4 linked regions of the Drosophila melanogaster genome follow. The protein of the gene in region 3 purifies or fractionates together with the protein of the main gene of each other region. This does not show direct contact. Each region holds a gene or a part of one and is shown on either strand. Other genes may lie near its edges. The genes, in order: CG31344, SPE, Idh3b and FipoQ.

The links.
Region 1: the proteins of Idh3b (region 3) and CG31344 purify together in Drosophila melanogaster (affinity purification with mass spectrometry, with the first as the bait; one large-scale study listed by BioGRID). This does not show direct contact.
Region 2: the proteins of Idh3b (region 3) and SPE purify together in Drosophila melanogaster (affinity purification with mass spectrometry, with the first as the bait; one large-scale study listed by BioGRID). This does not show direct contact.
Region 4: the proteins of Idh3b (region 3) and FipoQ purify together in Drosophila melanogaster (affinity purification with mass spectrometry, with the first as the bait; one large-scale study listed by BioGRID). This does not show direct contact.

What each region holds. Positions count from the first base shown.
Region 1 is NT_033777.3:15,221,884-15,227,176, reverse strand, and holds CG31344 (uncharacterized protein), read left to right. Parts: upstream 1-1,847; 5' UTR 1,848-2,030; coding exon 2,031-2,094; intron 2,095-2,242; coding exon 2,243-2,435; intron 2,436-2,789; coding exon 2,790-3,744; 3' UTR 3,745-3,799; downstream 3,800-5,293. Other genes in the region: Caf1-55 (chromatin assembly factor 1, p55 subunit), read right to left, coding at 1-540, 651-1,211, 1,263-1,284; Polr2G (RNA polymerase II subunit G), read left to right, coding at 4,085-4,096, 4,154-4,474, 4,532-4,669, 4,727-4,777; CG12241 (uncharacterized protein), read right to left, coding at 5,222-5,293.
Region 2 is NT_033777.3:23,684,104-23,689,330, forward strand, and holds SPE (Spatzle-Processing enzyme), read left to right. Parts: upstream 1-2,151; 5' UTR 2,152-2,182; coding exon 2,183-2,258; exon of another isoform or gene 2,259-2,434; intron 2,435-2,608; coding exon 2,609-3,001; intron 3,002-3,217; coding exon 3,218-3,527; intron 3,528-3,587; coding exon 3,588-4,011; 3' UTR 4,012-4,044; downstream 4,045-5,227. Other genes in the region: CG18754 (uncharacterized protein), read left to right, coding at 1-26, 281-602, 1,078-1,311, 1,377-1,773.
Region 3 is NT_033777.3:22,015,627-22,021,733, reverse strand, and holds Idh3b (isocitrate dehydrogenase 3b), read left to right. Parts: upstream 1-2,549; 5' UTR 2,550-2,700; coding exon 2,701-2,742; intron 2,743-2,906; coding exon 2,907-2,954; intron 2,955-3,017; coding exon 3,018-3,110; intron 3,111-3,637; coding exon 3,638-3,754; intron 3,755-3,811; coding exon 3,812-4,393; intron 4,394-4,515; coding exon 4,516-4,746; 3' UTR 4,747-5,343; downstream 5,344-6,107. Other genes in the region: mitofilin, read left to right, coding at 2-150, 214-909, 1,012-1,032, 1,126-1,284, 1,342-1,630, 1,697-1,874; Theg (testicular haploid expressed gene), read right to left, coding at 5,645-5,907, 5,974-6,107.
Region 4 is NT_033777.3:29,493,831-29,499,423, forward strand, and holds FipoQ (F-box involved in polyQ pathogenesis), read left to right. Parts: upstream 1-2,710; 5' UTR 2,711-2,847; coding exon 2,848-2,943; intron 2,944-3,169; coding exon 3,170-3,494; intron 3,495-3,556; coding exon 3,557-4,175; intron 4,176-4,233; coding exon 4,234-4,401; intron 4,402-4,469; coding exon 4,470-4,673; intron 4,674-4,732; coding exon 4,733-4,868; 3' UTR 4,869-5,093; downstream 5,094-5,593. Other genes in the region: diedel, read left to right, coding at 49-396.

The sequences.
Region 1 (5,293 bases), 6.8 Mb from region 3:
CATGGATGAAGAGCAGCTCGGGTGGTCCGTCCTCAGCATCCTCCGTACTCTGCTCCTCGCCGATTTTGGACAAATCCCAGACGTGTAGGCGGCGGTCAGTGCCGGAGGAGGCGAGAATAGTCTCGTTATGCGGCGACCACTGCACTTGGAAGATCTCGTCCTTGTGCGACTCGAAGGAATGTAGTTTTAGCTTGAGGTTGCGCAGATCCCATAGAGCTACAGTCTTGTCAGCGGAGCCCGTGGCCAGAATGAACTCCGAGTAGGGATTAAAGCTCAAGCAATTGACTTCCGCTGTGTGAGCGTCCACTGTATGCGAGGGCTTCGAGGTGTTGTTGTTGCGCGTGTCCCAGATCATCAGCTTCTGGTCGTCAGCCACCGATCCGAACAGAGACTCATGTAGCAGATGCCAAGCCACGTCCTCAACAACGGCGGTGTGGCCGGTGAAGATGTTCTTGGCATCAATAACCCTATGCTCCTTGGGTGTGGCATTGATGTCCCACAAGCAGATGGTGTGATCATCAGAGGCTGACAGCAAATAGCCTGTAAGGACAATCAAGATGTTCATTAAGGGTTAAAACGTAATGCATTTTAGATGTGTCAAGCTCTTATCTGAGCTAATATATAAGTACTAGGTACAGCTACGCACTTACCATTGAGGTTGGGATTCCAAGAGAGTCCGTAGCCTTCCTTTTGATGACCGCGCAGCCGCAGGTCAGGCTGGCACTCGCCAGACGGTTCCGGCTTGCTGGGATGCTTCGTGTAGTCGAAGACCAGGACATCACTCGACGGCGTCTTGGTGGCGATTACACAGGCGTTCTGGGGCATGTAGCGGGCCCTGTTCACTTCGCCCTCGTGGTTGATCTTAATCTCGATTTCGATTTTGCCGCACACCGATCCAAAGCCTCCAAACTCGCCCTTCTCGTTATCGTAGTGCGAACCATCGAACTGGGCATCCTCGCTGGGCAACTGAACGCTGGCGATGAGTAGATGGTTCTGCTCGTCAGATGTGTGTGTGCCCAGTATAAGACGATGTACCGAGTAGTCCTTGCCATCCTGCTTGGTCACGTCCGGCAGCCACTGGGCAGTCAACGAGGGCCATTCCAGGGCATGCGTCATGACCAGATCGTACAGGAACGGCGTGTTCTTTTTCCAAATCTTATACTCCTCATTGATCACGCGCTCCTCGACGGCGTCGTCGAAGGATTCCGCTGCTAAAGGTCGATGGTTACACATTGCGGCGATTAACTTCTAACCGGACTTACCATTATCGCTGCGATCCACCATTTCGAGGCTTTTAGGCACGCAATTTCTCAGTCTGCGTCAAAAGTCGGCAGCCGAAAAAATCGGGCGCCAAAACAAAAGCCGAAGCGGCAAAACGTGTGCAGAAAAACTACGAAAGTTCGCTACGTAGTTAAAGCTCTCGCAACGAACACTTGACCGAAAGTCGTTGTGGCAGGGATTGAGTCGAATCCTGGCCGGGAACTTACACTTTAAACGGCGTAACGTCAGGGCAAAATAGAAATTGGCTAATTTCCTTCGTTTTTTTGCAAGCGCGTCGTCGATGATAGAGATGCAATGCTAAAGATTGTCGAGACGACTGCCATATTCGATTACGATAACGATAACAGAGTTATGGAGATGACACTGCGCGGTATTTTTATACTTGTTACGTTCCTGCGTCATGATTTTAGTATTTTGTGGTTTACATCGATATATTTGGGGTTTTAAAAGGTATATTTTAACGGTTGCAGTTGCGGGCACACTAAAGTGCATAAACAAAGTTTACTACTTAATTCGTTATCAGTGCGAATGATTCGAAACCAGTTTACGCGCCAATGACCGGCTTTCCATTCTTATTTGACGAGCCTAACGTGCCAGTTGCAGTTAAGTTCCCCAACCGCAACGACGGTGGGCAGCCGTGATTCATCCTCAACGCTTTTTTTCCAATTGTGTATGCAAAATGTTTTTGCACGTAACGAGCTGAACTATTGAGTTTGCTAAATAGTTTAACAAGCAATAATTTGGCCGACATGCAGGTTGATGGTTGTACCAGCAGCTCATCCGAGATCCCCCATCCCGCGAAGCGTGAAACGTGTAAGTGCACAGTGGACTTGTTGGCGGGTTGAATGAAAAACTTTCTCTCTTGGCGCGCCGACGATTTTGTTTGTCTTTTCTTTCTTTCACTTGTGTAATCCGAATTTGGACCTCAAGCTCGTTTTCTACATCGCACGTCACTTTCCAGGGATCAGTGGGAAAATGCAGTCGTCATCGCATTCCAAAGATGGTCATAATGCAGCGGGGGCTTCAAAACTGCTTCAGGATCACCAGGAGCCCGAGGACTACTTGGAGCACCTAATGAAGGAGGGCAGTCAGGAGGGCGACAGCGGTGCTGATTTGGAGCTACCTTCGTGGTACGATGAGCAGCTATTCAGGCGGTAAGTTGCGTGACTAATTGTTCACTGATTGCATATTAGCCCAGTAACCACAGTAGAAATAATTGTGATAATTACAATATCCATATACACATGGGTTATTTATAAGCTTGGAGTTATGTAGCAGTTTGCTATGTGAATAATAATGCGAAAAGGCAGCATATAATACTTATCTTTATCTGTGCTCATTATTCCAATTTTGTACCTACGGGCTTACATATTAATAACAAAAGGCGACATACATTTACTTTTAACAATATATATGTATATGTACATGTATGTATATGTATATTTTAATTTAAATAATATAACTGCATTCGAATTACTTAATTGATTCTTTATTCCTTTTCCTTGCAGTGGTCAGAGCTACTTTAGCACGTATCGCTTTGTAATGAACGCCGGAATGCTGGCTGGTCTTATTGCCGTGCTGGCTATTCCATCCATTCTCCGGGTGCTGTCGTGCACACGCCAATCCTCGACAGCGTTCACCGCCTACCGTCGCTATGTGCGTACTATATTCCACACGCAAGCCTGGTATAACCACAACATCGCGGACCGTGGCAGCAGGTTCTGGACCAGCATTGCGGCCGTGAGGCGGGCCCACAGCCGCTCCAGTCATGCGTGCGCCCGCCAAGGAGCTGGACAGATCACCCAGAAGGATTTGGCGCTCACGCAGTTCGGTTTCATTGGCTTCATAACGATGGGCGCACATCGCATAAAGCTGAAAGATCAGGACTTCCTGGAGGCCACTACGCATATGTGGCGCGTTCTCGGCTATCTGCTGGGCATCAAGGATGAGTACAACATCTGCGGTAGGAACTGGGCGGAGTCAAAGCTCCGCCTGGACATTGTGATGCGTAAGGTATACGAACCAGCTCTGGCAAACACTGGGGAGGATTTCAAACGAATGACCGAGGCCCTGATTAATGGCTTGTGGCACATAAACACCATGCTGTCGGTGAATGCCAACATATTCTTTGCCAAGCGATTGGCCTGCGTTAAGGGATACGAGTACTACAGTTTCGATCATGAGAACGGAGTGGCGCAGGATCCCCAGCAGAAGCTGCACTACTACGACATGGGATGGTGGGACCGATTCATAGTCAGCTACGGCCTGTTCCTCGTCACATATCTGCACAGGTATGCCCTGGTGCGATGGTACTTGAACTTCCGCGTCTGGCTGGTGGACATATTCACCTATTACTTGCCCTACGTCGCCATTTGGAAGTTTGGCCCGAAGTCCGCGTATGTGCGGATTTTCAGGAATGGCGGGGAAGCCCAAGACTTTGCCCTGGGCTTGAAGGACGATTAGATAGTGTTGTGTTTCAGTAGGTAAATTATCAATAAATATGCAAAGTAATTGTTGTAAAAGGAATGTTGAGTTTATATTTTAACCATATTTAATGAACGGGCTGTAGTTCATGTTGATCATATAAGAAATGTTGAATGACTTGAAAATCGAACACCTCCATAAATTATCGTATTTAATTAATTAATTATTTTATTTTTCTTTCTAAACAGATCGTTATAATTATTGGCGGTAAATTACGCGCTTCTGTTTTTTTTACATTTCCGAATCTGGTCACACTTGCGGCAGCATCTTTTGGGTTCCGGCTGTTTACTTTAGTTTTTTACCTTAAATTTAATTAACAATGTTTTACCACGTGAGTATTTCATTCTCCGAATAGAGCAAAAATAAATGCCAACCCCTTGCGCCGTAGATATCGCTGGAGCAAGAGATTCTGCTTCATCCACGTTACTTTGGCCCGCAACTGCTGGAGACCGTGAAGCAGAAACTCTACTCCGAAGTGGAGGGCACCTGCACGGGAAAGTACGGATTCGTGATAGCGGTGACGACGATAGATCAAATCGGATCGGGTGTCATCCAGCCGGGCCAGGGATTTGTGGTGTATCCGGTCAAGTACAAAGCTATCGTCTTTCGGCCATTTAAGGGCGAAGTTCTGGACGCAGTGGTCAAGCAGATCAACAAAGTGGGCATGTTTGCAGAGATCGGCCCGCTGTCCTGCTTCATTTCGCATCATGTATGTTAAGTCTGAGGGATCTAAGGTAACACTTTTTAACGGGCGATTCTTTTTTAGTCTATTCCCGCCGACATGCAGTTCTGCCCGAATGGGAATCCGCCCTGCTATAAGAGTAAAGATGAGGATGTGGTTATCTCCGGAGAGGATAAGATTCGGCTGAAGATTGTGGGCACACGAGTAGATGCCACTGGAATTGTAAGACGCTCCATAAATATAAGTACTTTTCGCAAGTTAATACTCTAATATTTCTAGTTTGCAATTGGCACTTTGATGGACGACTACTTGGGATTGGTGTCCAACTAAATTCAATCGTTTTGCGTACAATTTATATATATATATATATTAAACTTTAATGAAATGCATTTAGACAGTTAAACATCTATGTGTATATAGTAATAAATATGTCTGTACTTTATAAGATTTGATTTCAATTAAAGGTACGTTACATTTGTAATTTAGTAGATTGGTGTGGTCTAGGATTTATAATAATGGATGGACATTAAGTAAACAAACGGCTCGAGCTATACATAGGGCGTTTTAAAGGTATAGTTACAGCTACAGATCGTTATGGTAAAGCACTTAAGTTAGGTGTACGACAACAAAGAAGTACTTAAAAAAGCGATAGCTTCGATTCAAAGAATTGCGATTGCACTTAGAAATGAAAGAACAGAGAAGGGGGCAATGAGATATTGGATACGCAGTTGATTGCCAACGATTGTGGAGCTCCTTACAAGGCGGCAGCAAGCCTCACAGATCCCATGAGAAGAGATGGTGCTTCACCAGCATGTCCCTTACTCCGTCCTTGAGCGGTTGCGACTC
Region 2 (5,227 bases), 1.7 Mb from region 3:
TTTCTTCAACCAATTGGCTGAGTGTGGTAAGCAAAAGCAATGATTTTTAAGTTTTCGTAAAAAACCGAAGATGTTATATCTTGCTCAATAATATCCTTGCAGAGGATGTGTGCTGTGAATAGGTCACGTTCGACCCCATGAATTATAAAAATTATCATATCCATCGATCCGTTTTATTATAAATCATATTCAAAAATAATAATAATAATAATATTTCCACATAGACTCGTACTGCTATACTTTATCGGGGCTTTCACTTATCTATTTTTGTAATTTATAGTTCGGTTATCAAGCTGCCAAAAGGATGAGAAATGCACCAGACTGGTTAGCTGCTCGCCGCTTATGAACATCCTTAGGCCCCGGGGCATGACCCAGGCGGAGAAAGATGTGTTTGCACACAGGCAGTGTGGCCTGGACCCCAATGGACACGAGTTGTTGCACATGGTTTATGTCTGCTGCCCAGAGTTGGGTGACGTCTTGCCCAACAAACAGACCTGTGGACAAACGACGCCCGTGTTCCGAGATCGGGGTGCCGAGAATGCAGAGCTTAATGAGTACCCTTGGATGGTATTGCTGTTATATGAGAATCGGCTATCCTTGATGTGGAATCAACGAACTGGTTGTGCGGGCTCACTGATCAACAGTCGCTGTTCACACATGAACACGAATATATTTAAAGACTTACAATTTTGGGCTCCGTTCATATCTTATGTAAATGAATCGAGAGCGATAAATTATATTTAGGATTTTGTTATCTAAGGCGACATGGGTGCATTGCTCAAAAACATGTAATTTAAGTGCACACTACATGAGTCAGTCACTTGAGATCTTTCCCCGCCTCCTAAAATAGTCCCTTAGTGGGAGACCACAGATAAGGTCCTCGCCGCTCAAGATAGGCAGATGTGCCCGAGCGTGGGACCTCGATAAGGCGGGGACTATTTACTTAGGCCTCTGCGTAGGCCATTTACTTTAAGATGCGATTCTCATGTCACCTATTTAAACCGAAGATATTTCCAAATAAAATTAGTTTCTTACAAAAACTCAACGAGTAAAGTCTTCTCATTTGGGATTTTACAGTCGCTATGTGCTGACCGCTGCCCACTGCGTGATCGGTGGTTACTTGACGCAGAATGACCTGGTTCTGAAGAGTGTGCGCCTGGGCGAGTCCACTACCGACTGCATCACCTCGGAAAGCAGGTGTCCACATTTGGATGTGGAGGTGGGGCAAACAACAGTACATCAGGGTTTCACTTCGAGTGGCGGAACTTACCGCAACGACATCGCCCTCCTCCGATTGCAATTCCCAGTGCGGTGAGTAGCAGTGATCTCCACCCTAATCTCCACATCTTATGGAAATTTCTTTACAAACCCGCTAGATACACGAAAAAGATCCAACCCATTTGTCTATTGGACGCCGAATTTCCCCTACAGGATTTGAATTTGCAAATCTCTGGCTGGGATCCGACTAAAAGCAGTCAAACGTTGATCACCAGCACGGTCAAGGAAAGGAATCCTGCTGATTGCTTGAATAGGTATCCCAGCTTTCGCTCCGCGTCCCAAGTATGCGCCGGTGGTCAACGGAAAGGGGACACCTGTGCGGGCATCTCCGGCAGTCCGGTAATGGGCATCATGGGAAGCGGCGTCGACGAGTTCGTCTTTTTGGCAGGCATTGCCTCATATGGACAACAATATTGCTACTCTGCTGGTATTCCAGGTGTTTACACAAAAATTGGCCACTTTTCGGAGTGGATCAAAGCGAATTTGGCTCCCTAATTTTAATAAAGAATTCATATTTGCAAAATTGGAATAGCATCTGTTCCATTAATCCACTACTATAAAGTAATAGACCTATAAAACCCCAAAAGATAAGAAAAAGCACTGAAGATTGTTTTTTAAAAAACGTGTTGTTCAAAAAACATAACGTGCCGAGAGAAGATTAAGCATAAATAAATTTCTAATAACTACACCGCTGGGTTTGCCCAGCTCAGCAGAACTACTATGTAAATATTAAGGCAGGGAAAGACCACCCTATTCACATAGCTTTTGCCTTTGTTGCAATCTAGATGGTATTGAGTCCGGAGATAACCTCTGCTAATCACGCCCAATGCATCGGGAGAGAATCGGTGACAGCGAAACTGCCGGACAGCTTGGTTAGTATCAGCTTGGAGCCCATAGCGACGAGATGGCTTCTACGGAACGGAATTTTCTGCTACTGTCACTGGTGGTCAGCGCATTATCCGGCTTGGTCCATCGATCAGGTGGGTAAGCTGTCCTTTGGGCAAACAATATCCACAGCAACTGGATGCAATGGTGCTTCTTTCAAAAGTATATAGTTCTATATATATAGTATAGTATAGTATATAGTTTGAATAAAGCTAGAAAAACTAAGCACTTGACCTTGTTGATTGTGAGAATAAAAACCATAACAACTAATAATCAAAGAGTTTTTGAAAACTTCAAATATATTAAATATCAACATATAGTTTCCCGGACTAAGAAATTTTATGAGAAATATTAGACATGAAGTCCATTAGTAGAATGGATTGCCTTTAATGGATTGGTTCAGAACCGGTTAGACTGCATCGTAAATCGCGCTCTTCTCTTCCAGACGCAGCGGAGATCAGCTTTGGCAGTTGTACGCCCCAGCAGAGCGATGAGCGCGGCCAGTGCGTTCACATCACCAGCTGCCCCTACCTGGCCAACCTGCTGATGGTGGAGCCAAAGACTCCCGCCCAGCGAATCCTTCTCTCCAAGAGCCAGTGTGGCCTGGACAACAGGGTTGAGGGCTTGGTGAATCGAATCCTGGTCTGCTGTCCGCAGAGCATGCGGGGCAATATCATGGACTCGGAACCAACTCCTTCGACGAGGGATGCACTGCAGCAGGGGGATGTGCTGCCTGGAAATGACGTCTGCGGCTTCCTTTTCGCTGATCGCATTTTCGGGGGCACCAATACGACCCTCTGGGAATTCCCATGGATGGTATTGCTGCAGTACAAAAAACGTGAGTAGATTACCTACCCAGGCTCTATTTTAATCTCTTATAGGAAGGTTGTTTCACGAGGTCACCTGTAATCATTTTTTAATCACTTTTTCAAATCAAATTCTCCAATGGGGGGATCATCATTATAAGAAAACGCATATTCAATATATACAAGGCTATTATTAGTATCTAATCAATTTATAATATGTACTTGGGAAACGCTCTTTATCCTTTCAGTTTTTTCTGAAACCTACACTTTCAACTGCGGCGGTGCATTGCTCAACTCGCGCTACGTCCTGACCGCTGGACACTGCCTGGCCAGCCGAGAACTGGACAAATCCGGTGCCGTTCTACACAGCGTTCGCCTGGGGGAGTGGGACACTCGTACCGATCCTGACTGCACCACCCAGATGAACGGACAGCGCATCTGTGCACCGAAACACATCGACATTGAGGTCGAGAAGGGCATCATCCACGAGATGTATGCTCCCAATTCCGTTGATCAGCGTAATGACATTGCGTTGGTGCGCCTTAAGAGGATTGTTAGGTATGTGGTCCAGAGATCCCTCAATTATTCCACTGACTTGCTTTTTTGTTTTTGCCACAGCTACACCGACTACGTGCGTCCAATATGCCTTCCCACGGATGGTTTAGTCCAAAACAACTTTGTGGACTACGGCATGGATGTGGCCGGCTGGGGACTTACCGAGAACATGCAGCCAAGTGCGATCAAGCTGAAGATCACCGTCAACGTTTGGAACCTAACGAGTTGTCAGGAAAAGTACTCCAGCTTCAAGGTGAAACTGGACGATTCTCAGATGTGTGCCGGCGGCCAGTTGGGCGTGGATACATGCGGTGGCGATTCCGGCGGTCCCCTTATGGTGCCTATATCCACGGGCGGCCGGGATGTCTTCTACATTGCCGGCGTCACCTCCTACGGGACGAAGCCCTGCGGCCTCAAGGGATGGCCCGGCGTCTATACCCGCACGGGGGCTTTCATCGATTGGATAAAGCAGAAATTGGAGCCATGATGAATACATACTTAAATACATGATAACCATGTGAAAAGCGCGATGTAGATATTGGGGTTTAATCAATTCACATGAGATCGGCACTGTCAAGTTTTGCGAGCACAACCGGTTGTAATAATATCGAACCACTTTTCTGTCAATCTGTGATCAGCAAAGTCTGGTAGTAGCTTGCCCACGTAATTTCCCATATTCTAATGGAAAAGTAGAGGAAAATCTCTGGAACTCATTTATCTCTGTTGCAATAGCCATCTCACTTGTCAATCTAGACGGCAGATGTGCCGGAGAGCTTGGTCAGTATCGGATTGGGTTCTGGGGTATCGAGATGGCTTCCATGGAATGGAATTTTCTACTATTGCTAATGGTCATCTGCGCATTTTCCGAGTGGGTCCAACATTCAGATGGGATGCCATAAACGACAACGATTTCACCTGGATCCGCTTAAAATTTTGAAATATATCCACACACGAGGTGGAGAAGGGCATTGTACATGACCAATAGTTGCCTAATTCCGTAGACCAGCAGAATGACATTGCTTTGGTTTTGAAAAGGAGTGGCATTGAAAAGGAGTGGCGGGTGTGTGGGATGTGTGAGTATTCCATAACTTCTTCATCATTGTTATTCATTCACCAGCTACACCGACTACGTGCGCCCCATTTGCCTGCCCACGGGCGATCTGATCCAGATCCAATTGTGCGCCGGCGGCATGTACGGCTATGGATACCTGCGATGGCGATTCTGGCGGTCCCTTGATGGTGTCCATATCCACAGGCAGCCGGGACGTATTCTACATCGCTGGCATTACTTCCTACGGCACGAAGCAGTGCGGCCTCGGTGGATAACCCGGTGTATATACCCTCAGGGGGGCTTTCATCGATTGGATAAAGCAGAAATTGGAGGCATAATAAATAAAATTGCTAGTTTATTCACATTTCTCGCATTGGCTAGCTTACAATATTACGTACATGGTGCTGATTGGACGTGGGATGGACTAACTAAGCTAGGTTCTAGTGGAATGCCTACAAATATTCGCGTAGGCCAGCGTTCACAATATTCGCAACAAAACATTAAATTTTATTTGTTAGCTGGCCTGATAACAACATAAAGTAAAACTCGCTGACATTACATGAGGCGGATTCCTTTAACAATTTATGCTTAGTTGCGCGCTATATATAATTCAGCTTTGTTTGTTGTTTTTTAAACTAATAACCAATAATCG
Region 3 (6,107 bases):
GCTTTAATGACGATGTCCGTAAGGTTGTAGACAAGGCCGTAGAGAATGGAGAGAACTCTCTTTGGACCACGCTGAAAAATCGAGCAAGTGCCCGTGATACGGCAGTGGCTACGGCAGAGCGAGCTGCCCGTGAGGCTCAGGAGAAGATTGGTAAGTCCATTGTTTGTTAAATAGATTCCAAATTTCAGTAACATTCCCTTCTATCAACTGCAGTCGCCTGCGAGATCGCCCTGAGTGCTGCGGCAACGGCCCAAAACGCAAAGAAAGTAGAGGCAGTGCGCGACAAGATCAAGAAGCTTGTGGACCACATTGGCAACGTAAAGGACGAGCTTTACCGGCACAAGGACACGGCCAGCGTGTCAGACAAGTACTGGCGGAATGTGGAGAAGGCGCGAAACTACTTCATTGACGAGATCGAGTCTATCTTCCCCGGCCTCAGTTTGGCGGATAAGAAACTTAATCTGTCAAAGGAGGACCTAGACTTGTTCATCCTGCACGCCTACACCCATGTCCTGGCCTACCAGAAGGAGCTGCAGCGCTTGCAAACCGATGGTGAGCTGCGCCTGAAGAGAGCTATTGACTCGGTTCGCGGTGACAACGATTCGGAGGCTTTGCGCGCCCAACTGGAATACCATTTGGAGGCCGAGCGGCGCAAACTGGCCGTGGAAAATCAAAAGAAAATCTTCCACATCCACGCCGAGTCTGATAAGCTGCTGCGCTTGCAGCTCAAAAAGCAAGCAGAGGCCCACGCCGATCATATAAAGGACATCGTGGCGCAGCGGGAGACCGATCTGACGCGAAGCTTTAAGCGTGAACTTGAGGATAAGCTGGCGACCGAAAAGGCCAACTATAAGTTACAATTGGCCGGGATGCTCGGCAAGCTGCGCGGAATGGACGCGGCTCTGGCAGGTAAGTTATACGTTTTAAACGATATCGGTTGAATGTAGCTAGTGTAGCGTGGCTAGATATATAATGGTTTTCAAACCTTTTCAAAACATGCTGCTATATTAGAGATAGAGGATGAGTTTCAAGGTATATTCACCCTATATGAAGGGTAGTACTTATACCAACTTATTCTTGGTTTAATCAAAATGTTTATTGACATTATATGCAACATTTTTGCAGAGCGTGCGGATGCAGAGCGTACTGCCAATCAGGCGCAGGCCCTTTGGGCCGCCTGCCAAGCTCTGTGGGCCTCCGTGCGCGCTGCCACTCCTGGCGTGCACTATAAGGATAGGTTGCGCCCGTTAAAGAACGAGATCAATGCCATTGCCAAGGTGGCTAGTAAGTTGAAACGTTTCCCACATTTCGATTTCAGTTGCTAAATGCATATGCTTACAGAGGGTGACGACCTGGTGGCCGCTGTGCTGGAAAGCGTCCCGAAGGAGGCTCAGGAGCGCGGTGTCTATCCAGAAGATGCATTGCGCGAGCGTTTCCTGAATGTGGAGCGCGTGGCGCGACGATTGGCTTTGGTGCCCGAGGAAGGAGCCGGCCTGCCCATCTACTTCCTGTCCTATCTGCAATCGCTGTTCATCTTGCGACCCGATAATCCCATATCCAAGGACGAACTCGAGAACAAACCCTTCGACTATAGCAAACTGGACACCTACGATATCCTAAACAGGGCCAGGTGAGGCGATTGATTCATCTATCACTAGAGTTATATAATATATATTATATATATTATGTTTCACAGGTACCATGTGGATCGCAGCGACTTTCTGCAGGCGCTCAAGTACATGAATCTGCTGCAGGGTGCATCGCGCAAGATTGCCGGCGAGTGGATGAAGGAGGCTCGCCTCATGCTGGAGACTCAGCAGGCGGCCAACACCTTGATGGCTCACGCCGCTGCCAGCGGACTATTGTATTTGTAGACTACGTCCCGTGTCCCCTTCCTTCAGAAACAAGATGATACACTTACTATTTGTTATTAGTCCAGGAGAAGATGGTACGATTACCAACAATATGTAATTTGTCCAATTAGCGATCACAGTTGAAACGAAATAGCACTTATATACATATATTTGTAACATTTTGTTTAGCTTCAATTATACAAATTAAACATAGAAACCATCATTATAAAATCCAAAACATAAATACTCTGGGAAGATTTGTAAAAAATTCGATACCAAGGCATGAATGGAATATGATATATTACTAAAGCTGAAATTGGCAAGCTTTGTGTTTCTGAAGAACAATGTGATTAGGCCATAAATAAACATAAAGAACATCCACTTGTTGTTTAATTTAGCGAAAAAAATTAATATAATAAATAAGTTGACTAAAAAGTATGCTGAATGTCAAAATTCAAATAAAATGCATTGGCTAAATTTAATTTCTCTGTTCTGAAAAGAAAGCATGGTAGGCAAGGCAAATGTATTCAAAAACAGGTTACTATGCGGTTGCCGCCAAATTTATTCCTTAAATAATCGTATATGTTCGTTACTAATTTTCGAACGCCAAAATCGCGATAGTTGGTCGTTAGCCAGCACTGGACGCGCCAGTTTCGTGGGCGGCTATCGCCAGCCCTGGTAGTCAGAGGCAATCAGCTGGTTTGCGTGGTCGATTTGGTCCTATTGAAATTTTTCGGTTTGGCACCGGAGCAAAAATCACATCGCAATCAAAAATTTCGCGTGGCCAAAGGACACACTTTTGAGTTTGGATCAACAGCCGGGAAGATCTAGCTAACCGAATAGCAAAATGTCGATGCTGGCGAGAACAGTTGGACGGACGTTCATGCAGGTAAACGGCCATCCAAACCGCAGCTCTTACATAAACACTTGCTCGCGACGCGCTGTGCGAATATTTCTGCGCTGAGGCCTAGTTCTTATACGTTTCTTTTTTTTTTTTTTGAGGTTATAATCCTAGCCAGCCTTAACGATTACATTGCATTCTTCTCGTTTTAGGCTGCGGCAGCACGTAGTCTGCACACCACGTCGACGCTACGGGCTACGGTGAGTGTTAAATGCGCTTATTAAGTGGCACCAGTTGTAACCGGAAAATAATTGGTCTTGCAGGATAACTACGGCGCCAACAGGACCACCTGCACACTGATTCCCGGCGACGGTGTGGGTCCCGAGCTGGTCTACTCCCTCCAGGAGGTCTTCAAGGTAGCTAACCATCCATCAAGTTGCAATCATTCACATACAGTATTCCAATGCGTCCTAATTCTTATAAATCTATACTCTTGCGTCTCTTGATCTCTCTTAAAAAAAAGGTTATTTAAGCTTAGGATCATTGCCAGCTTGGTTTCCTATTTAATAGAAAAGCTTTTTTTAAGCAAGTCGGCGTTTAGTTAGTTATGTACATATTTCTAGAATCTATTAGATTTAAAAAGCACAGGGCTCTAAAAATTAATTAATATATTTCACTCTTCACAGAGCGCATTGTATTTGATAACACTTCCATTTTTCCCGATCACGAGTGTTTTTATTATATAAATCAAAACATCAAACTTATCTGTATCGTAAAGATATGTGATAAGTGGCTGCTACTTGAAAATTTTAGTAGATTTCGGGATTTCCGTTTTAACTGAACATACATGTTCATACGTGCGACTAAATTAAAAAATGCTATGTAAATTCTTTAACTTTTCAAGCCCAATCAATATGCATAATTATCTTATCTTGTCGTTCAGGCAGCCAGCGTTCCCGTGGACTTCGAGTGCTACTTCCTTTCCGAAATCAATCCCGTGCTTAGTGCCAAACTGGAGGATGTGGTGGCATCCATTCAGAAAAACAAAGTGTGCATTAAGGTAAGTTTGCAAGAAAATAAAATAGTGTGATAAAATCTAAACAATGTGCTCCTTCAGGGCGTTTTGGCCACACCCGACTACAGCAATGTGGGTGACCTGCAGACCCTTAACATGAAGCTTCGCAACGACCTGGACCTCTACGCCAATGTGGTGCATGTGCGCAGCTTGCCCGGTGTCAAGACCCGCCACACCAACATCGACACGGTGATTATTCGCGAGCAGACGGAGGGCGAGTATTCGGCGTTGGAGCACGAGTCGGTGCCCGGCATTGTGGAGTGCCTGAAGATTATCACCGCCAAAAAGTCCATGCGCATTGCCAAGTTCGCCTTCGACTATGCGACGAAGAATCAGCGCAAGAAGGTCACCGCCGTGCACAAGGCGAATATCATGAAGTTGGGCGACGGTCTCTTCCTACGCTCCTGCGAAGAGGTTTCCCGGCTCTATCCGCGCATCCAGTTTGAGAAGATGATCGTGGACAACACGACCATGCAGATGGTTTCCAATCCCAACCAGTTCGACGTGATGGTCACCCCCAATCTCTATGGTGCCATTGTGGACAATCTGGCCAGTGGTCTCGTGGGCGGTGCTGGTGTCGTTGCTGGTGCCTCCTACTCCTCGGAATCCGTCGTCTTTGAGCCGGTAAGATTCGCCATAAAGACATAAAGATAATCCATAAGATCGTGATTTACACGGTTCTCGAGCCTAGCTGTGCGAATCCACTTCAGACTATTCTTATCTCTAATACCGATTTCCGATTGCAGGGTGCACGTCACACCTTCGCCGAGGCCGTGGGCAAGAACGTGGCTAATCCCACTGCCATGCTGCTCTGCGGCGTGAAGCTGTTGCGCCACATCAACCTGCCCACCTACGGCGAGATCATCCAGAATGCCATCAACAAGGTGCTGAACGATGGCAAGGTGCGTACTAAGGATCTGGGCGGACAATCGACCACGCAGGACTTTACCCGCGCCATCATCCTGAACATGTCCTAGATGGGCACCACTGTCATCGCCGGCATCGCGATCAGCAAGTCTACAACATCATGGGCAACAACGTTGGCGCTTATATAATCGACATTAGACAGTTTCTGTTGTTGCCACAGCTAAATTTTGAATTGTTGAAAGAAACACCTTGAAAGTTCTTAGTTATCCTATTACGTCCAATTTTTTTTATTTGTCCCGATGTCTTCAGTGCATTCATTTGAGTATTATTTCCGGCGAATATTTAAGTTTAGTCCAATTGAAACGCCTGCAGACCCGCCCCGAATCCAAAAGTTGCGAATTCTTTAGTTTTACCAATTGGCAGTAATACATCGATCCTTGATTATGTTGTAATTATTTACGTATTATTTCCCCCCCCCCCCCTTTTTGATTTCGCAAAGATGCTAATTTACGGTCGAATTATATTTTATGTTTAACCCGTTGAAAAGCAAAACAAAAAAAAAAACCGAAAACAAATGATATTGCTAAACCAATTAACTGATAACGGATGGCTTTGAGTGGACCCACTCCACTGGAGCTGTGAGAAAGATAACAATAAACTCAAATCTAAATTAATTATTATTTAAAAGCCATTGTCAGTTCCGAGCTGTCTAAATTTTAAGTAATACAAACAAAAGATAAAAAAAAAAACCCAAACATATTTCTCAAACTTTTTTTTGACTGGAATGAAAGGCCAAAGGAGATTTCATCGCTATTCCCAACTCCGGCGCCACTTTCACAGGAAATCCAATCCCGTAAAGAGCCGGAAAAGCTCTAGTTGTTTTTTAAAAAACCAAAAACAAATTTATTAGAAAAGTCGATACCAAATGTAGCCGAAATGAAAAACTTAGAACACCAATAAGGACGGTAATGATTATCCAGACGCACAGTCCACGTCCGTCTCCAATTATTATCCACCCTTGGGCTTGGCCAACTCGATGAGGCGTGGCGAGGCTTTGGCCTTCAGAGCCGCCGGCGATATGGCAAACGGATTCTCCCGGATATGCGTGTTCTCGAACTCCTTGGGCTCCGCCAGCTCCTTGATCCGCGTGCTCGCCTTGTATTTGAGCGCGTTTGGCGCGATACCGAATGGATTCTCCTTGACATCCGCCAGTCCTTGGTTGGCATCGCGCGTGGTAAGTGGCTCGGACATCTCCTTGATGCGGGCACTCGCTAAGTGAAGCAATGCCAGGTGCTGCATTATTAAAAGATCAACTAAATTGGAGTATGTGTACTTACGCTTGTAGCGAAGGGCATTGGGCGAGACCTTCTCCGGATTCTCGTTGATGTGGACATTATCGCGCACGACGGGCTGCGATATTTGCTTGATCCGCTTGGTCGCCTTGTAGTCCTTCATCTGGGAGGTCAGCTCC
Region 4 (5,593 bases), 7.5 Mb from region 3:
CGCTGTTTGCCGGGGTGAAAAGCATTAGTTCTCCCAGTAAATCCAATCATGGCATCCCCAGTAGTCAGCCTGCTTCTCGTCGGGATCTGCGCCCTGGCCTTTGTCCATGTGGCTCGGTCGGAATGCTGCACCTCCCGGGAGCTGGTGGAATTCAAGATGGACAGAGGCGACTGCGAGGCTGTGCGTGCAATCGAAAACTATCCCAACGGCTGCGAAGTGACGATCTGCGCCGATGGTGTTGCCCAGTTGGGCGCCTACTGCGGCCAGGGATCGTGCAACATCTTCGGCTGCAACTGCGACGGCGGCTGTCTGAGCGGCGATTGGTCACAGGAATTTGTGAGGAGGAACCAGCAGTACGGAATCCAGATCATCAAAGTCACCAGGCTGCCATTTTAACCCCTTGCATCACATAAACAATAAAGAGAAGCTTTAATTGCATCCAGAAATTACTAATTAATTATGTGTATTTTATTTTATATATGCATGAAATTGATAAGGTTCCCACTTTCTAATCAAATGTAAACAGTTCAATCTGATTACTAGGAACTATTCTTATTTTTAATCTTGAATTCCATTAATTACGCTATTAACTAAAACTATTATACTAAAAAAAAAACAACTATCATCAAAATCTGAGATGATATGGGCTAATTTTTGAATAAAATCCAGTGCTCAAATCATAAGAAGTGATTTTTTGTAGTTTCTAGCATTTGTAATATCTGTTTCCCAACGATCGACCACGCCCCCTGGGCAACCGCCCCTCTGTTGGCCGCTCGCCATGGGAAAAGCAAATGACGCCTGCACTCGCAGAGATCGCCCCGAATAACCCCTCCATATCCACAGATCCACAGATCCCCAGATGCCCATGTAGCCATGTACTCCGCATGTAGTACGATCAACTAGCCGAGTGAATTTTGGCATAAACCATTTTCCGCGGACGCCTGATTTTCTCAGTTTTCTCAGAGTTGTGGAGCCGTCGAGAACGCGGAGCATTCGCCCATGTAAAGCCGCAGAATCCGTCGATTTTCGCCGGAATTTATCAATCCGATTTGCCAGTAATTTGCAACAGAATAAGTGAATTTGCCAAGTGAATTTCCCTAGTTTTTTTTTTCAACTTGCAACGAAAGTGCTAAAGTTACGAAACTGCACTTTCCACGTTGCACTTGCAACCCCAACAGTTTTTTCCACCAGATCCACCAGCTGAGGGAAAACTATTAATAAACCGGGCGAAGGATGAAACAAATTCAGATGTGACGCCCATCCTCGTCGAAAATCAAAAGTCGCAAGTGAACAATGTGTGTGTGTTCACTGAGTTTGCATAATTGTGAATTTGCTATTTTAATCGCCTGCGGGCATCAATTAATTAATTAATTAAAAGCTTTCCTTCTCGCACTCGTTTATTTGCGGAAAGTGTCTAACAATTTCGTTTGATCAACTAATCAAATGGGTAAATAACATAGTAAAAACGAAGTTTTAACTAACTGCTTTCGCTTGCTTACTTAATATACTTATACTTTCCAGAACTAATAGACTACTGAATATAGATTTCCTATTAATTTGCTTCAAAATGTGGTAATTTAATTAGCTTAGCTGCTTGTAAACTAATAATTTCTAAATAACAATTAGTTTGAAATGCTCAGAATTCAGTGTGACTAATTGGGAAAGCCTTGCAGAAATAGTTTAGCTCATGAATGAATGTATCTCATGCGAGTATAGCCGGCACATCTCCTCCCTTAGTTAGATACATAGATACATAGATACATAGATAGAAGCGGACGGATCCAGCAAGACCATACATACATACATATTGTACAGCTGAGACAGCGAACACCTTCAGCTTTCCGGCTGATCCCAATCCAAATCGCGAACTAGAGCGCAGTGCCCACCATGGATAATTGGAATGTTTTGGCAGCGCAAACCTCCTCGCAGGCCATCGGACTCCACGACTCTGGCGTGGTGAAGACCCGACTGGTGAGTACCCTGTACATAGAACATACACATGTGCAGATAGATATACATATTAGATGTAGTAAACAAAACAAAGCCAGACAGACGAACGATGGCGTATATATAGAATTCTTGGCAACAAACATTGTGCACTGAGAAAGTAAAAGGGGTTCGAAATCTATTATTACTATTAAATATATATATGCAAAAGCAGGCTGTGCGGAAATGTATCTTAAAGTAGGCGCTAAAGGATAAAGCTCAGAAGGTTATTCCTCGGGAAACAGAAGCATTTTCAGATGCATCTTAAAGTATCTAAGAAGTAGAAATATCTTAAGATGAATCCATAGGTTATCCGAACCTACAAAAGGTAGATACTATCAGCAATATCAGATACTTTTAGATATAAGTAAAATATAGTAAAATATCTCGAGATACTTTTATACAGCTTACTAATGATTTTGAATCTGACGAGGAAAGGAAGAGATTTGGCAGGGATTTTATCAGCATGTTTCTCCACGTGCACCGCTGGGTGAGTGGTGCTGGTGGTTCTAGTGGTTCTATTTGTTCTTAAAGAGTGCGTGAGTGGTGTGGTGCGTCGCCCGTGAACAGCACAGCTGATGCATCCGAAAGTAGAGTGATTGAGTGATGCGATGTGGCAGTGCTCTCGTTACTGGCGCTGGTCTATAAATAAGCCTAGGGTTCTCTTGAGTCTACTACTGCCTGGCGGATCTTTGGAGATTCCGATGGCACGTCGATGGGAATGCGGCTCGCAGTAGCGCGAAAGTAGCTCGATACGACGGATATTCTCGCCTCGCAGGCAGAGCACGCGTAGTTTGCCCCGTGTGTAGCTATATTTTTTTTTTATATAAGCAAGTGGTTCCGAATCATCCACACCCAGCCATGGATATATCCACCGATATCTGGGGTCAGCTGGCCGTGGAGGCATCGCAGGTCTACCTCTCCGACGGCACAGTTCGCAGTCCCTTCGCCGATACGGTACGATGGGTTTGGGATATTACTTAGGGATCCCACTCATTTGGGAGAGCCAGTCTGTGGCGTAAGAGAGAGTATCTATAGATTCACTCACCCGTAGAATATATAGCACCACATTCGCACTCAACTATTCCGAACTGTCGTTTAGATTTACATTTAGAGATCATATTTGAATCACTTATGTAGTACCATAGGATATACCACTATATATCGTGACTCTCATCCACAGACCATTGAGAAGCTGCCGGACAAGGTGCTGCTGCACATCTTCTCGTATCTGTCGCACCGCGAGATCTGCCGCCTGGCCAGGATTTGCCGACGATGGCGGCAGATTGCATACGACACGCGGCTGTGGAAGAACGTGAGCCTGCGACCGGAGGTCTCCGGACTGCACGTGGGCTCGCTGGAGATGCTGCTGCAGCTGATCTCGGTGAGATTCGGACCGACTCTGCGCTACATCGAGCTGCCCATCGAGCTGATCACGCACACGGTGCTCCACGAACTGTCCGCCAAGTGCCCCAATTTGACCCACATGCTGCTGGACTTCTCCACAGGTGGGTGCGCCACGTCGCCGATCGTCCGTCTTAAACTCTAGAGTGTCCTGTGTACTTCTTAGCCATGCAGCTGCACGACTTCAGCGAGATGCAGGCCTTTCCCACCAAGCTGCGCTACATGTGCGTCTGCCTCTCGGAGGTGATCTTCATGGAGGGCTTCATGCGCAAAATCTACAACTTCATCAACGGCCTGGAGGTGCTGCATCTAATTGGCACGTACGAGAAGTGCGAGGAGGAGGAGGAGGAGATCTACGAGGTGATCAACGTGCACAAGCTCAAGTCGGCCACGCCCAATTTGCGTGTGATCAACCTGTACGGCATCAACTTCATCGATGACTCGCACATCGACGCCTTCAGCTCGAACTGCATCCAGCTGGAGTGCCTGGCCGTCAACTTCTGCAACAAAGTGACCGGCTCCACCCTGAAGACCCTGATCCAGCGTTCCAAGCGCCTCACCTGCCTGCTCATGAACGGCACCAGCCTGAAGTCGGAGTTCGTCATGCAGGCCGAGTGGGACAAGTGCGCCCTGCAGGAGCTGGACATCACGGCCACCGATCTTTCGACCGAATGCCTCGTGGACATGCTGAGCAGGATCCCCAGCCTCAAGTTCCTCTCAGCCGGCCAGATCAATGGCTTCAACGACAGCGTTCTCAAGCAGTGGATGGAATCGGGCACCACCAGGTGAGCGGAGACAGTACCTACCCGTCTGTGTAAGCACTCCGATAGCAGTATGATTTAGGTCGCTCATTTCCCTGGACTTGGACTCCTCGGACAACATCTCGGATGAGGGCCTGCTTAAGTTTATACAGCGCCAGGGTCATCAGCTGAGCGCCTGCTGTCTCTCGGGCATGCCCCACATCACCGACCAGCTGTGGATGAGCATCCTGCCCCTGCTGGGCAACTGCAAGTAGGCGACACTATTGGTCATCGAATGAAAAGACATTTTATTATGAGCTGAACTTTCTTAACCTGCAGGATCATTGTTATGGGCACCGCAGAGAAGCTGGGCGTCAACATCCACGTGGACCAGCTGATGGACACCATCGCCTCGAATTGCGGCAACTTGGAGCGGCTGGAGCTGCGCTGGGATCCGGACAACCTGCGCTTCTCCGACAAGAGCCAGAAGGCCATCGATATTCTGCGCGTCAAGTGCCTCAAGCTGCGCTGCATGGTGCTCAGGTGGGTCTACATCAGACTCCTATTTCTATGCGGGATTAACATCAATATTTCGCTTCCAGCGATGGTCGCTACTATGAGACGGTCAAGGCCAACTTTGAGCGTGCCGATCGCATCACCGTGGTGCGCACCACCACCTGCTGCCGTGTGTCTCCCTATCACCTGCTCCGCAACTACAACGATTTGATTTTCAACTGAGCCTCTGAGGTTCAGAGCTGAAAGCCAAGAGAGGATTGGTAGCTTGCACTTACCCGGTTGCAGAGCTCTGGATGGGATTTACCCACAACAGGGCCGGAGGAGAAGCAATGTTTCTGTGTGTTTTCGCTTACAATAAGAGTGTTTTAATGTTTTCTGTATTTTCCGCTTCTTTCGTTTAATTACTTTAAATCTAAATAAACGTACATAGGTAATTTAAATAAAAACAAAACAAGGATTTGCTTATACAAGTTATTTTTACATTACAAAATTATACAACGCAACTTTTCGCCTTGCTCTCGTTTTTAAATCATTTTTTTTTTTTTTTTAATCATTTCAATCCGCGTTGATTCGTGTTTTGTTTTTAACTAGATTTACTTGGTAACTTGATTAAATCATTTTCAGACTTCACCACATAAAATGTTTATCGTTTTTGCGTTTTAGCGTTTTGCTGATGATTTTTACACTGCTTTCATCCATTGCAAACTTAATGCTAATTTAATTTTTTTTTTGTGTGTGTATGTTTCAACATTTTTGAATCGACTTTTTACCATAAACTTAACGTACATATGTAGATCATCTCCGTTTGAATTATCGTCTCATTGCCGATCAGCGTTCAGCTATTATATGCATGGTATATAATTTAGTTAAGCATAGCTGCGTGAGTTATACATACGTAATGTCTGTGCCTATGACGATATAGGATCGAAGGTGGGTGCTGTGGTCGA